Linked DNA regions of Saccharomyces cerevisiae S288C. The protein of the gene in region 2 binds, or shares a complex with, the protein of the main gene of each other region. Each region holds a gene or a part of one and is shown on either strand. Other genes may lie near its edges. The genes, in order: RML2, MRPL10, IMG1 and MRPL9.

What was found.
Region 1: MRPL10 (region 2) and RML2 share a complex: the UniProt entries of both Saccharomyces cerevisiae proteins name them as parts of the mitochondrial large ribosomal subunit.
Region 3: MRPL10 (region 2) and IMG1 share a complex: the UniProt entries of both Saccharomyces cerevisiae proteins name them as parts of the mitochondrial large ribosomal subunit.
Region 4: MRPL10 (region 2) and MRPL9 share a complex: the UniProt entries of both Saccharomyces cerevisiae proteins name them as parts of the mitochondrial large ribosomal subunit.

What each region holds. Positions count from the first base shown.
Region 1 is NC_001137.3:59,062-62,691, reverse strand, and holds RML2 (mitochondrial 54S ribosomal protein uL2m RML2), read left to right. Parts: upstream 1-1,840; coding exon 1,841-3,022; downstream 3,023-3,630. Other genes in the region: VMA8 (H(+)-transporting V1 sector ATPase subunit D), read right to left, coding at 3,544-3,630. UniProt on the Saccharomyces cerevisiae protein: Component of the mitochondrial ribosome (mitoribosome), a dedicated translation machinery responsible for the synthesis of mitochondrial genome-encoded proteins, including at least some of the essential transmembrane subunits of the mitochondrial respiratory chain.
Region 2 is NC_001146.8:102,623-105,790, reverse strand, and holds MRPL10 (mitochondrial 54S ribosomal protein uL15m MRPL10), read left to right. Parts: upstream 1-1,688; coding exon 1,689-2,657; downstream 2,658-3,168. Other genes in the region: WSC2 (Wsc2p), read left to right, coding at 1-607. UniProt on the Saccharomyces cerevisiae protein: Component of the mitochondrial ribosome (mitoribosome), a dedicated translation machinery responsible for the synthesis of mitochondrial genome-encoded proteins, including at least some of the essential transmembrane subunits of the mitochondrial respiratory chain.
Region 3 is NC_001135.5:209,392-212,094, forward strand, and holds IMG1 (mitochondrial 54S ribosomal protein bL19m IMG1), read right to left. Parts: upstream 1,033-2,703; coding exon 523-1,032; downstream 1-522. Other genes in the region: RRT12 (Rrt12p), read right to left, coding at 1-219; BUD23 (18S rRNA (guanine1575-N7)-methyltransferase), read right to left, coding at 1,327-2,154; ARE1 (sterol acyltransferase), read left to right, coding at 2,538-2,703. UniProt on the Saccharomyces cerevisiae protein: Component of the mitochondrial ribosome (mitoribosome), a dedicated translation machinery responsible for the synthesis of mitochondrial genome-encoded proteins, including at least some of the essential transmembrane subunits of the mitochondrial respiratory chain.
Region 4 is NC_001139.9:935,497-938,541, reverse strand, and holds MRPL9 (mitochondrial 54S ribosomal protein uL3m MRPL9), read left to right. Parts: upstream 1-1,658; coding exon 1,659-2,468; downstream 2,469-3,045. Other genes in the region: TOS2 (Tos2p), read left to right, coding at 1-1,418; exportin CRM1, read right to left, coding at 2,747-3,045. UniProt on the Saccharomyces cerevisiae protein: Component of the mitochondrial ribosome (mitoribosome), a dedicated translation machinery responsible for the synthesis of mitochondrial genome-encoded proteins, including at least some of the essential transmembrane subunits of the mitochondrial respiratory chain.

The DNA.
Region 1 (3,630 bases), on a different chromosome or scaffold from region 2:
GTATACAGGATATACTAGAAGATTTCCTCGAGATTATAGAAATGCCCAAAAGGAAGTCGATAGTGCTACATAATTATGTAACTTCATCCTCCTTCCTTTTATACTTTGTCGTTCGCTACCCTATTACATTATTAATTCTTGCATTTCAGCTTCCTTTAAATTTGATAGCTGTTTCCCATCGTACTTTTTGTCAACTAATTCTGTCCTATATGATAATTGAAGAGTGGGTGAATTTTGAGATAATTGTTGGGATTCCATTTTTAATAAGGCAATAATATTAGGTATGTAGAATGTACTAGAAGTTCTCCTCGAGGATTTAGGAATCCATAAAAGGGAATCTGCAATTCTACACAATTCTATAAATATTATTATCATCATTTTATATGTTAATATTCATTGATCCTATTACATTATCAATCCTTGCGTTTCAGCTTCCACTAATTTAGATGACTATTTCTCATCATTTGCGTCATCTTCTAACACCGTATATGATAATATACTAGTAACGTAAATACTAGTTAGTAGATGATAGTTGATCTTTATTCCAACAATAATACATATTAATACTATATACATAAGATCAAAGATGAAACTTGCTTCTTATTCCAGCAAGATTCTATATGCCATGATATACGACGAATAATATTTTGTGAATCAAGTTGATACTCCAAGGTTATGTTCTAATCTATGTTCTGTGGGTTCTTTATTTTTTGAATAACAACAAATAGTAAGCGCAAGTGGTTTAGTGGTAAAATCCAACGTTGCCATCGTTGGGCCCCCGGTTCGATTCCGGGCTTGCGCAGCTTTATTTTTTTAATCCATTCATTTCATGAGCAACTGTCAACTAATTCCAATACGAAGAGCCTAATTCTTTGATAGTTCCTTTTCTTTTCTAGTTTAGATTTCAGAAAGCGTAAACAACAATTTTAATCATCGTATTCAAATTTACATCGAACACGTTCATGATTAGCATGGAGTGTAATCATCATCAAAAAAAAAAAAAAAGAGGAGTGATAATGGCAATTAAGACAATTTTTTATATAACAGTAAGAATTGATATTGAAACCAAATTGTGCTTAACAAAAAAAACTAGGTCGAATGGATATTTTTCTTAATCCAACCGTACCGCTGTGTACAAATGAGGCAAAAGAGGTAAAATGTTTGAGAAAAGATTCCTTTCTTCAGCAATCCTTTTCTTGCATTAAATACATGTTCCTTGAGAAAACTTTTGATGTTTAATGTGTAAATATCTCATTAATTTCAGAATTTTCAGTGTTTGTTGTTTGTAAAATCAGTCATTTCAAAGATCCGCTTGGGGCGACAACTTAGTCATCATGTTAATGAGATACCAACAAAAAACTGTACTTGTAAGTTGTCTTTATCATCTCTAAAGGAACAATAATGCAGAAGAGAAAAAAGTAAAGAAAGTAATACACAAACATCCCCCTCTTGGCTTTATAAGCATACGCAAACAGTATAGTTCGAAAAAAAAAGTATTAGTACGATCTATTTTTGTTTGTCAGGAACTCCTGTTCCTTAACACATTCTATAGAAATATCTATATGTTACCATCCACGTACAGGTTGAAGCGCTTGGTATTTAAGATGAATAAGTATATTCTACGGTTAAATTTGAATAGAACCTCTGTTCTTTAAATACTCAAAAAAAATTTTCCATGCAAAAAAAAGACTACGCGAGGTGGAAAGTTAGGGCTTGAACCTATAATTGAAAGAGAAAGGGAACGTATGGGAAACTGAAAGCGAGTTCTAACTAAGCAAAAGAGAACGTTGTAAACTAGTCCAGAAATACGCAGAGAAGATAATTTAAGTGTTTATGAAAGATGTTGGTGCTAGGGTCTCTTAGATCGGCGCTGTCGTGCAGTTCCACAGCATCGCTTATTAGTAAGAGAAACCCTTGTTATCCATACGGTATACTCTGTCGAACTCTATCTCAGAGTGTTAAATTGTGGCAAGAGAATACTTCAAAAGATGACTCCAGTTTGAACATTACTCCACGATTACTAAAGATTATACCTAACGATACTGATATCGTGACTCTTGAGAAGCAGGATGAATTGATTAAAAGACGTCGTAAACTTTCGAAAGAAGTGACCCAGATGAAGAGGCTAAAACCCGTCTCACCTGGTTTGAGATGGTACCGTTCCCCCATTTATCCATATTTGTACAAAGGTCGTCCGGTTAGAGCCCTAACTGTTGTTCGAAAGAAGCACGGTGGTAGAAATAATTCAGGAAAAATCACTGTCCGTCACCAAGGTGGTGGCCATAGAAATAGAACGAGGCTGATAGACTTTAACAGATGGGAAGGTGGTGCACAAACGGTGCAAAGGATTGAGTACGATCCGGGTAGATCCTCTCATATCGCCCTATTGAAGCATAATACTACCGGCGAATTGTCTTATATTATTGCTTGTGATGGGTTACGCCCAGGCGATGTGGTCGAATCCTTCAGAAGAGGTATTCCTCAAACTTTACTGAATGAAATGGGCGGGAAAGTAGACCCTGCTATCTTGAGTGTTAAGACTACCCAAAGAGGCAACTGTCTACCTATTTCCATGATCCCCATAGGTACTATTATTCACAACGTTGGCATAACACCCGTTGGACCTGGAAAATTTTGTCGCTCTGCTGGTACATATGCCAGAGTCCTTGCGAAATTACCTGAAAAAAAGAAAGCTATTGTTAGATTACAAAGCGGTGAACATCGTTATGTGTCTTTAGAGGCTGTCGCTACCATTGGCGTGGTCTCCAATATTGACCATCAAAACAGATCTCTTGGTAAAGCCGGCAGATCAAGATGGTTAGGGATAAGACCCACTGTTAGAGGTGTTGCCATGAATAAATGTGACCATCCTCACGGTGGTGGCCGTGGTAAATCCAAGTCTAATAAATTATCAATGTCTCCATGGGGACAACTGGCAAAGGGGTACAAGACTAGAAGGGGTAAAAATCAAAATAGAATGAAAGTAAAAGACAGACCAAGAGGCAAAGATGCAAGATTATAAATAGGCTAATTTTAGTAGAAAAGAAGCAACATAGGGACCTTTTCTTCGTTGTTCTGGTTACATTTATCTGTACTATATAATTTTGCACAGCCTGTAGACAATGCCGCTTGTCCACAATCATGTAAATATAAATATTGAAACTTTTCACTTGTTTAAAATTTATGGCAAACCACTTTAATACTTTTTTCTTTTTAGGTACAATATTTACATTTTGATACTGTCCATCAGATTTTAGTCACTAACATCTAAGTTAAGGAAGTAAGAGATTCAGACTCCGGTAAGGAAAAAAAAAAAAAAGAAAAAAAAAAAACAAACTCTGAAATGAAAGCATTAGAAGAAAAAGTTATATCTCATGTACAATTTGAGCAAATTTGGACCGATATGATTTGAGGTTGTATGATAAGAAGTGCTATTTATGATTGTTTAAAAAGATGTTATTTTATTAAACAATTATACAAAATATCCTTTTTTTTAATAATGGCTTACATATTTTTGAAAAGGGTCTTGTTCTGCCTGAAACTTCAGAATATAACATCGTCTTCTTGATCAGCAACCAATGTTTCACCTTGAGGTTCCTCATCAGCAGCTACTTCTGAAGCATCTTGTTC
Region 2 (3,168 bases):
TAGTTCTCTCTTAAACGGGAAATCGAGCTCGTCCAAGAGCAAAGGCTTGAGTGGTGGCGCCATCGCAGGTGTCGTAGTAGGTGTGGTTTGTGGTACAGTTGCCTTGTTGGCTCTGGCGTTATTCTTTTTCGTATGGAAAAAACGTCGCCAATCTTCTCAGCATGTGGACTTGGAAGAGACAAAGCAGTACCAGCCGTACTCACTGGGTGATGCTGACGCTAACCCTGTTATTCCACCGTCTGCTTCGAGCACTAACTGGCACATACCCTCTAGGAATAATACAGCATTGTCCAAGAATACAGCGTCTACTTTTGCCACTTATGATCTGCCGACAAGGGCGCCGGGCGGCAGAGATTCTATTATTACTGGTGATGCACATAATATCAGCAAAAGAAGTCACTTTCCCTCGGTAGTGTACGAGGAGCCTCCTTCGATCTATAACGGGAACCAAAGGTTCAGTGCTACTTCGCTGCCCGATATGATGGAAGAAAGACAACTACACATTGTCAACCCCGATAATGTGAGTTCAAATATTGGGAGTAATGTCTCAGATGGTGATGATGATTACGATGATGCAAAGGATTCCAATAATAGTTCTTTGCGCTGACTAGGTTTAGATACCAACACTACATATTCATATCAAAGACTTATTCATCCTTTCATATTTCTTTCCTTCATTTTCCCTTTGTATGTATAATATTATTAAAGCCGACGATTATTGCACGAAAGAAAAAAAATATAGATAAAGTGAACAGTACCGACCATATCAATATTGATTTATCATGTTAAAAAGTTAAGTATATGTATAGTTTATCAAAATGAATGTACACATTTTCTATTCTTCACAAATCTGAGGCAATGGGGTCTGTCTCAAATCACCATCAGGCATGTTTACCGTAGAATAAAAATAATATGCTTCCAATCGGATTTGAACCGATGATCTCCACATTACTAGTGTGGCGCCTTACCAACTTGGCCATAGAAGCTCAGAACTTGAGAAAACCGGATATACAAGTGCTACTTAACAAAATGAGTATGGAAATCCTAATCTTCTTACTTTAGTTAGTATAAGAATCTGTGTATATTTGGTGAATAATTTGATGATTGTTGGGATTCCATTGTTAATAAATACTATACTAGAAGTTCTCCTCGAGGACATATGATGTCGTTAGGACGTGATAAAAACCATTTCGTCCTTGGGAGATCACGGATGCATCGAGAAGTTTCCTAGCCAGTCATTGGGTTATTGTGCCGAAATTAACTTTAATCAATCAGAAGAGAGAAACCAAATGGCGTCCCCCAATTATTCACACTTCTGCAAAACAACTTAATTACTTTTCGTTTTTCACAAAACAAACGCAGCTCATATTTTGGGTAGGGCATTCCAAGTATCCATTTTATTGTGCGTTCATTGGTCTCGGTGAACGTAGGACAATATGAGTTCCGATTATACCAAATACCGTAGCAAACTCCTGATTGCAATTAAACAGTATATTTTGCGTATTCTGCGTCGCAAGCAATGTTAGATAAGGTACCTTTATGTACTATACAAAGCTACTATTCACAGCTACTATCTTTATATCCGTTTTTCTATTTGGCAATCGTATAGTTTTCTTACCCGGCTGAAACTCCAGGTAACTGCACTAAACGCAGTGCGTAAAATTAAAGCTCATGACCTTTAGAAGTTGATGAAAGCGGAAAGGCAAACAGGATTAAGAAATAGTTTTACAACCGTAATCGGTCGCAAACTAATAAACACTTTTGTTCCGTCCATGATGTTAACTAGCGTAGCTGGTAACGATATTTTTTTCCGAGGTTTATTCAAATCGCCGGTATTAGCATTTCAAAGTTATCGTTATGTTTCGATTTTGGGACAATTGAAACCGTCAGATGGTTCTACAAAGTCTTTCAAAAGACTTGGGCGTGGTCCTTCCAGCGGTTTAGGTAAGACATCAGGGCGTGGTCAAAAGGGTCAAAAGGCGCGTGGTAAAGTAAAATCGTGGTTTGAAGGTGGTCAAACTCCAATTTACAAGCTATTTCCTAAAATTGGATTTACCAACGTTGGCGCCAAACCATTAAAGGAATTAAACTTGAAACGCATTCAATGGTTTCATGATAAAAATAGGCTTCATTTGCAACCAGGCGAGGTTTTAGACATGAATAAGATGAGAAAGCTTGGTCTGGTAACTGGTCCCATAAAGTACGGAGTTAAAATTCTAGCCAGCGGAAAGTTCCACTACAATCTACCGATTGCTTTGGAGGCTTCTAGAGCATCCGCTAAGGCTATTGCGGCTATTGAAAAAGCAGGAGGTAAGTTTACAGCTCGTTACTACACACCGTTGGGTCTAAGGGCACATCTCAACCCCCAGTGGTTTCTTGAGAAGAGGGGAAGAGTACCACTACAGGCTAGACCCACGAAAAGAAGGGATATTGATTTCTATAGTAAAGAAGAGAAAAGAGGTTACCTAGTAATGGAAAAAGATAAACTCTTACAAGATATCAAAGAAGCTCAAAATAAGGGTTCTAGACACTTTTTAAAACAGAATGTAAAAAAGAGCTCATTAGAAATAGAGCTAGAAGAACTGTCTCCAGAGAAGGATTGGGTGCCAGTTGTGTCTAATTCTAAAGTCATGAACATCAAGGCTTTGGACCACTAAAAAATTGTTAACCGTTTTATATATAAGTAATATTCTCACTTGTACATACCTTAAGATATTGTCTTGTTAATGATTCATTTGGTGTCCGAAATTATTCTATTTTTCAGTCAATTTATGACCAACTATCGAATAAGGTCCTGATTTTCAGAAATTTTTAACTTTTATTTTCTTTTTTGTGAATATACTTTAAGCAAACTCAAACATATTAAAAGATTGCATCTTGCTTTTTCGGGAGAAGTAAAGCAGTTAAAGGAAAAGAGAAAAACTACATTCTTCTTTTAAGCATTATTATAACAGGGTGAAATGGTTATTTAGTAAATAAGCACAAATACAAAAAAAATAAACGACCCCAGTGAGGGTTGAACTCACGATCTTGCGATTAACAGTCGCACGCCTTAACCAACTTGGCCATGGAGTCTTATAATATATGATTTGTTGTATCTCAAAATGAGGTACGTCAGTATGACGATTCCTTATCCTAAACGTTCCTAAAACACATATGTGTGGGAAA
Region 3 (2,703 bases), on a different chromosome or scaffold from region 2:
CAGCTTGTTCACTAAGTTCTTGGACAGGTTCATGGTCACGCCGCGGAAGGATCCGATGGAGAATTTCTTCTCAATTTTGTTGTCGATGAACTGTCTCCATGACCTGTTGGAATTCGAAGTGAATTGTTGGAATGCTGTGGGATTTTTGAACCTCACCAAATACTCCTCTGCGTATGCGAGGTTGACCAGCAAAGAGATGAGTATGCACTGTGGCTTCATGACCAGTGTTTTTTTGCTGTTTTTCTTGGCGGATGTTAGAGGATGTCTAGCACTTGAGTATACCTCTATATGCTGTGTAAAATAGAAAATAAAAAAGCCAATGAGAACAATATTTTGTGTCGTTTTTTTTATTTTCGCTTCAATTCTCTATACACGTACGTCATCACTACGGGAAACCAAAAAAAAAAAAAAGAAAACAGTACAAAAAGGTTTACTTTACCCATAGTTAGTATACGTAGATTTTATACACGCACTATTTTTCTTATATACAGGAGATGGGTGGCCACAGAACCCGCGCCTAGCCTATTTCTTTCTTCTTAGACCTGCCTCGAGGTCGCCGACATCCAACCTTGTACCTCTGATGTAGTAGTGTTTGTTTCTTTGTCTGCTCGAGACGTGGGGGGTTAGCAAGTCGATTCTCTCGATCAGCGGCGAAAACAATGGCACTCTAATCTCGACGGCCGTCTTGGCTATCTGGTTCCGCAACAGCAACGAGGCGTCTTGCACCAGTTGTTTGCGGTCTATGGAAAGGATGTAGCCAACAAAGGTGTCGTACGAGCACTTGGACGAGTCGTACACAATCCGGACCACGTCGCCTGCCTTCAAGCGGTCCTTGTTCTTTTTACTGATGAGCTTCCTCTTAACGGCCCCGGGATCCAGAGACTCTATTTCTGAGAGGGCCACCTGCTTCATAATCTGCGACGAAGCTATGCGCTGCACAGGTGGGTACACGGGGATGGTTTTTCTCTTGGTGGCGGGGACCATGTAGGACCTTGTCCATGATCCAAGCAATCTGACGTTCCTGCTCCACATCGCTATGGTTCTCTCTCCCTTTCAGCAGCTGCTCAGAGGGAAGACTCGATTCTTCTTCTTCTTCTTTACTGGGAGTTCCAAAGCACCAAAATTGAAAACCAAGAAAAAAAGGAAAATACATCACTACATAAAAGTGCGCGGAGCCATTGACCACTCACATACAGATATAAGTGTATATATACAAGTATACATATACAAGTATACATGTAGAAGGAGACAGAGACAGAGGGAAATGTATAAGTGTGTATTTTTATAGTATACAAAAGAATATGCGTGTGAGGATGTGTGTTTCTTCTAGAACCTGTGTCTTCTTTTCCTCCCGGTGAACTTGGAGTCCTTCGCAACTTTCCTCCCACGTCTTTTCATGAGCTCCTTCTTTCTTAGAATGAAACTCTTGGCAGACTCCTTGTCTTTGCCTCCCTTCAAGCGCTGGCGCAGTTGTTTCTTCAAGTTGACGTTCTCCTCGTCCATGGTCACACCGTCCAAATTCACCTGCTCCTCCCCCTGCGGTGGGGCCCCACTGCTCAACACAAGGTAGTACTTCTTATTCTTTTTAGACTCTGGGTCGTCCACCACAAGCCCGCCACTGAACCCTGCCACCTTGGCAGACTGCAGTATGTCGTCCACCTGGTCGTCGTTTTTCGGGTAGAACTGGGCCACAAATTTCCCTCCCTTCTTCAGTGCAGCATACAATGTGTTGAAAAACCTCATCAACCGCTGTTTAGGATCGTTGTATGAAGTGTCCGCATTGCACAGCCATTGGATCGCACTGATACTAATAGCCGCGTCAAACGAGCCCGCCCGGAACGGTATCCCGGTGCCCATATCCTGCAACATCAAGTCGCCCTCCAGCTCTCTACTAAGACCGGTCGCAAGCATGCTGGGCGATATATCCAAACCACACCACACATGGTCTCCCTCCTGCGTCAAAATCTCCCCAGACAGTCCGGACCCGCACCCGATATCCAGAATGAAACTGCACGGCTGCAGATTCAAAAGCTCCAACGCCCTCAGCGTCATCTTCGCCTGGATATGCTGCACTCTGGTCGAACCCGTGTACTTGTGTGCTTCGCTATCATTATAGAAAATCTCCGGTGGTGCCAACTCCTCAGGACGTGACATTATTTCTTCTCTGATATATTTCCTGTGTTTCCGTACCGCACCTTTTTAGCACTACTTTTTTACTATGCTCTTCTTCTTCTGCTTCTTCTGCTTTTTTCCTCTTTATCACACTATGTATGTGCTGCTCATCTCTTCTTTTTATCGATAAAATTGAAAAATGTGAGATGGTGTAGAGTGAAAAAAAAAAAAAAATCTGGCTTGGCCATCAAATACCCGGCCGTGGTTGGACTCGTTTAGCGAACAATAGCACCCAGCAGACCCTGGCAACATGCGGATGATATAAGAAGGACGAGCGTGGTGGAGGAAAGGGGCGCCATTGGCACACTCACGCAGGTGGTTGTTCAGCACGGCTTGCAGCAAGAGCGCCAAAACAGATTGCAAGAATGACGGAGACTAAGGATTTGTTGCAAGACGAAGAGTTTCTTAAGATCCGCAGACTCAATTCCGCAGAAGCCAACAAACGGCATTCGGTCACGTACGATAACGTGATCCTGCCACAGGAGTCCATGGAGGTTTCGCCACGGTCGTCTACCACGTCGCTGGTGGAGC
Region 4 (3,045 bases), on a different chromosome or scaffold from region 2:
ACAGCAAGTTATCGGTCCCCTCCAAGCACATTGACCTTTCGAATAAGATTTCTTTCGAATCGTTAGAGAATTCTGAGCTGATTGTTTCACCACAACACTCAAATACTGGGCAAGACTGTGATCAAAGATGTGATAGTACGTCAAATCCTGATGTAAATGAAAAGTCCAGCCATAACAACGATAATCGACTTAAATCGAATTATACGAGTCGTAGCGGGCTCGAGCCTCAGTGTTCGAGAGAGGAGGAAGAAAATATTGACAGAATAAGAAGCATTTATAACATTTATTTTGAGAAAAGTAATAGCACGATACGATCCTCTGTAACTTCTTCGATACGGCGTGACTCTAAATTAAACATCGCTACAAGAAAAAGTGTAAATATGAGCTCTCAAGACAATCCAAATGATACTACATTAATTGAACAGAGTCACTTCGGAAGTACAACTGTCCAAGAAATTGATTCCAGTTCCAGCGCCAATGAGGAATATGAAGATGCAACTGATTATCTGCAAGTGCCGGCACCACAAGAGAATAAAAACATTGCATCGTCAGTATATTCAGAAGTAGCAACCAGAGAAAAAGTGATTCCCGAATCGTCTCTATCTCTTACATTCCCACCACCGAATGGTCTTTCAACGAGAATTACCTCATCAATATATTCTGACACGGTCGCTAAGGACCATATTCACTCTGCAAAGGCTCCCGTACGGGCCCTTTCGGAGGGTTCGGGTCAGTCAAATCTTACTTCTGCTCAGCAATATTCTACATATTTTATAGATCACTGCAACCAGAGCAATGATGACAATTACTACTATAATTATCCCCTCCCGTTAGAACATCCTCAAAATTATGAGAACATCGGAGATTTGCCCACGCCTACCCAATTCATTTATTCCACCTCTTCGCATTCCTTGACGTCATTCAAAGGAAGGCCTAAACCTCCAAAAACACTAAAACATGTACCTACAGCTAGGCTTAATGGGACAGCGTTGAATCCAATGGATCATCCTGAAATGTTTTACAGTTCGCCTACGAAAATACCGTCAACATCTTTGACAAAGCAATTTTGTACGCCCCTTCCATATCAGCTTAGACAAAGTGTTGTTATGACCAACCCATCAGAACTTTCTATGAAACCTCGCTATAAGCCTGCAGGATCTTTAAGAAATTTAATAAAGGCCCAATATCTCCCTGGTAACTCATCCACTACAACATCATCTTCTTTATCACAACCGCCGTCAACGTTGTCAAATGCAATAAATTTCCGTGTTAGTGGGTTATTGGATGACACTGACATCTTGCAGCCTCCTAGTGTGGGGGAAATCTTACCTTTTAAAGCTTCTACGGAAGACTTAAGGAAGCAACTGGGCACATCCCATAATTACGAAATAACACCGTACGAGAATGTACATGTATAAATAAAATTCAAAATCATGAAATGTTGTAACAGTAAATAAGCACCATAAATTCGTTTCTCGATGATCCTCTTCTTTCCTTAATTGAAATGCTAATGCCATTTCTCCTATTACAGTCGCGAGATATTTGTTTTCGGGTAATCCCTTGTCAAACGAACTTTATTGAAAAATATATGGACGATAAATTGACAACTGGGACGAGAAAGGGCAACTCTTTGAAAGCAAGAGAGAACAAATATAGCCATGTCGAAGTTCCTACAGGGATCAATATTTAGCATATCAAAACTTCATGTTAGATATTCTTCTACTCGGCCTTTTCTAGTGGCTCCTAGTATTGCTAACAGTATAACAACCGAGGCTCCAGCGATTAATCACTCACCTGAACTGGCAAATGCGAGAAAATGGCTACCAAAAAGATGCGGTTTAATTACTCGTAAGAAGGGAATGATGCCTTATTTTGATAAATCTACTGGTGAAAGAAGCGCCGCTACTATATTAGAAGTTAATAATGTTGAAGTAATAATGCATAGAACTTCGGAGGTCAATGGGTACTTCGCGTGTCAAGTAGGGTACGGATCAAGGCATTTGTCTAAAGTTAGCAGACAAATGCTTGGTCATTTCGCTTCTAAAGTTGTTAACCCAAAAGAGCATGTGGCCGAATTCCGAGTTAAAGATGAAAAGGGATTAATACCACCTGGCACATTATTGAAACCCTCTTTTTTCAAAGAAGGCCAATATGTTGACGTCAGATCAGTCAGCAAAGGCAAAGGTTTTACTGGTGTGATGAAAAGGTATGGATTCAAGGGTTTGAGAGCATCTCATGGTACATCTATTATGCATAGACACGGTGGTTCTTATGGTCAAAACCAAGACCCAGGTAGGGTACTGCCAGGAAGAAAGATGCCTGGTCATATGGGAAACGAGCATGTTACTATCCAAAATGTTAAAGTTTTGAAAGTCGACGATGAAAATAATGTTATTTGGGTTAAAGGCTCTGTGGCTGGGCCCAAAAACAGTTTCGTTAAAATTCAAGATGCAATCAAAAAAACTTGAGCATAAGGCGTATAAGTATTTTACTACAATCATGTACATACATCAATAATAACAATAAAATGGGTAATCACTTAAGAATCTTCAAATAATATTCTTTACTTTTCCATGAAGTTGGCTAAATAGTATTTAGTACTATATTAGAGTATTGGAACTTTGAAGAACCAATTTACATACAATATGAAGTGAAAAAGAAATGAAAACCCCGTGGTTATAAATTAGAGACTAGTTAATAAAAGGGAAAAAATATTGGAAATTTAAAGAATGATACGCCACCGCCTCTAATCATCAAGTTCGGAAGGTTTTAATAACCCACCAATCTTGGCAGCTTTTTCCCTCTCTAGTCTATTCTGTTCCATTAATGCATTCTCTTTATCTTCAGCAAACAAATAATCTGTTGGATCACCTCCGACTTCTTTGATTTGCACCAAAAAGTCCCTCAAAGTGCCTTTGAAGACCACTAAGTCTTTGTATTGTTTAGTTAATGCAGAGAGAAAACTTGCGATTTGTTCGGATGTTAAATGGGGGAATGCATTACTTAACATATTAGCCAAATATTGGCTTAAGTAGACTTGATTTG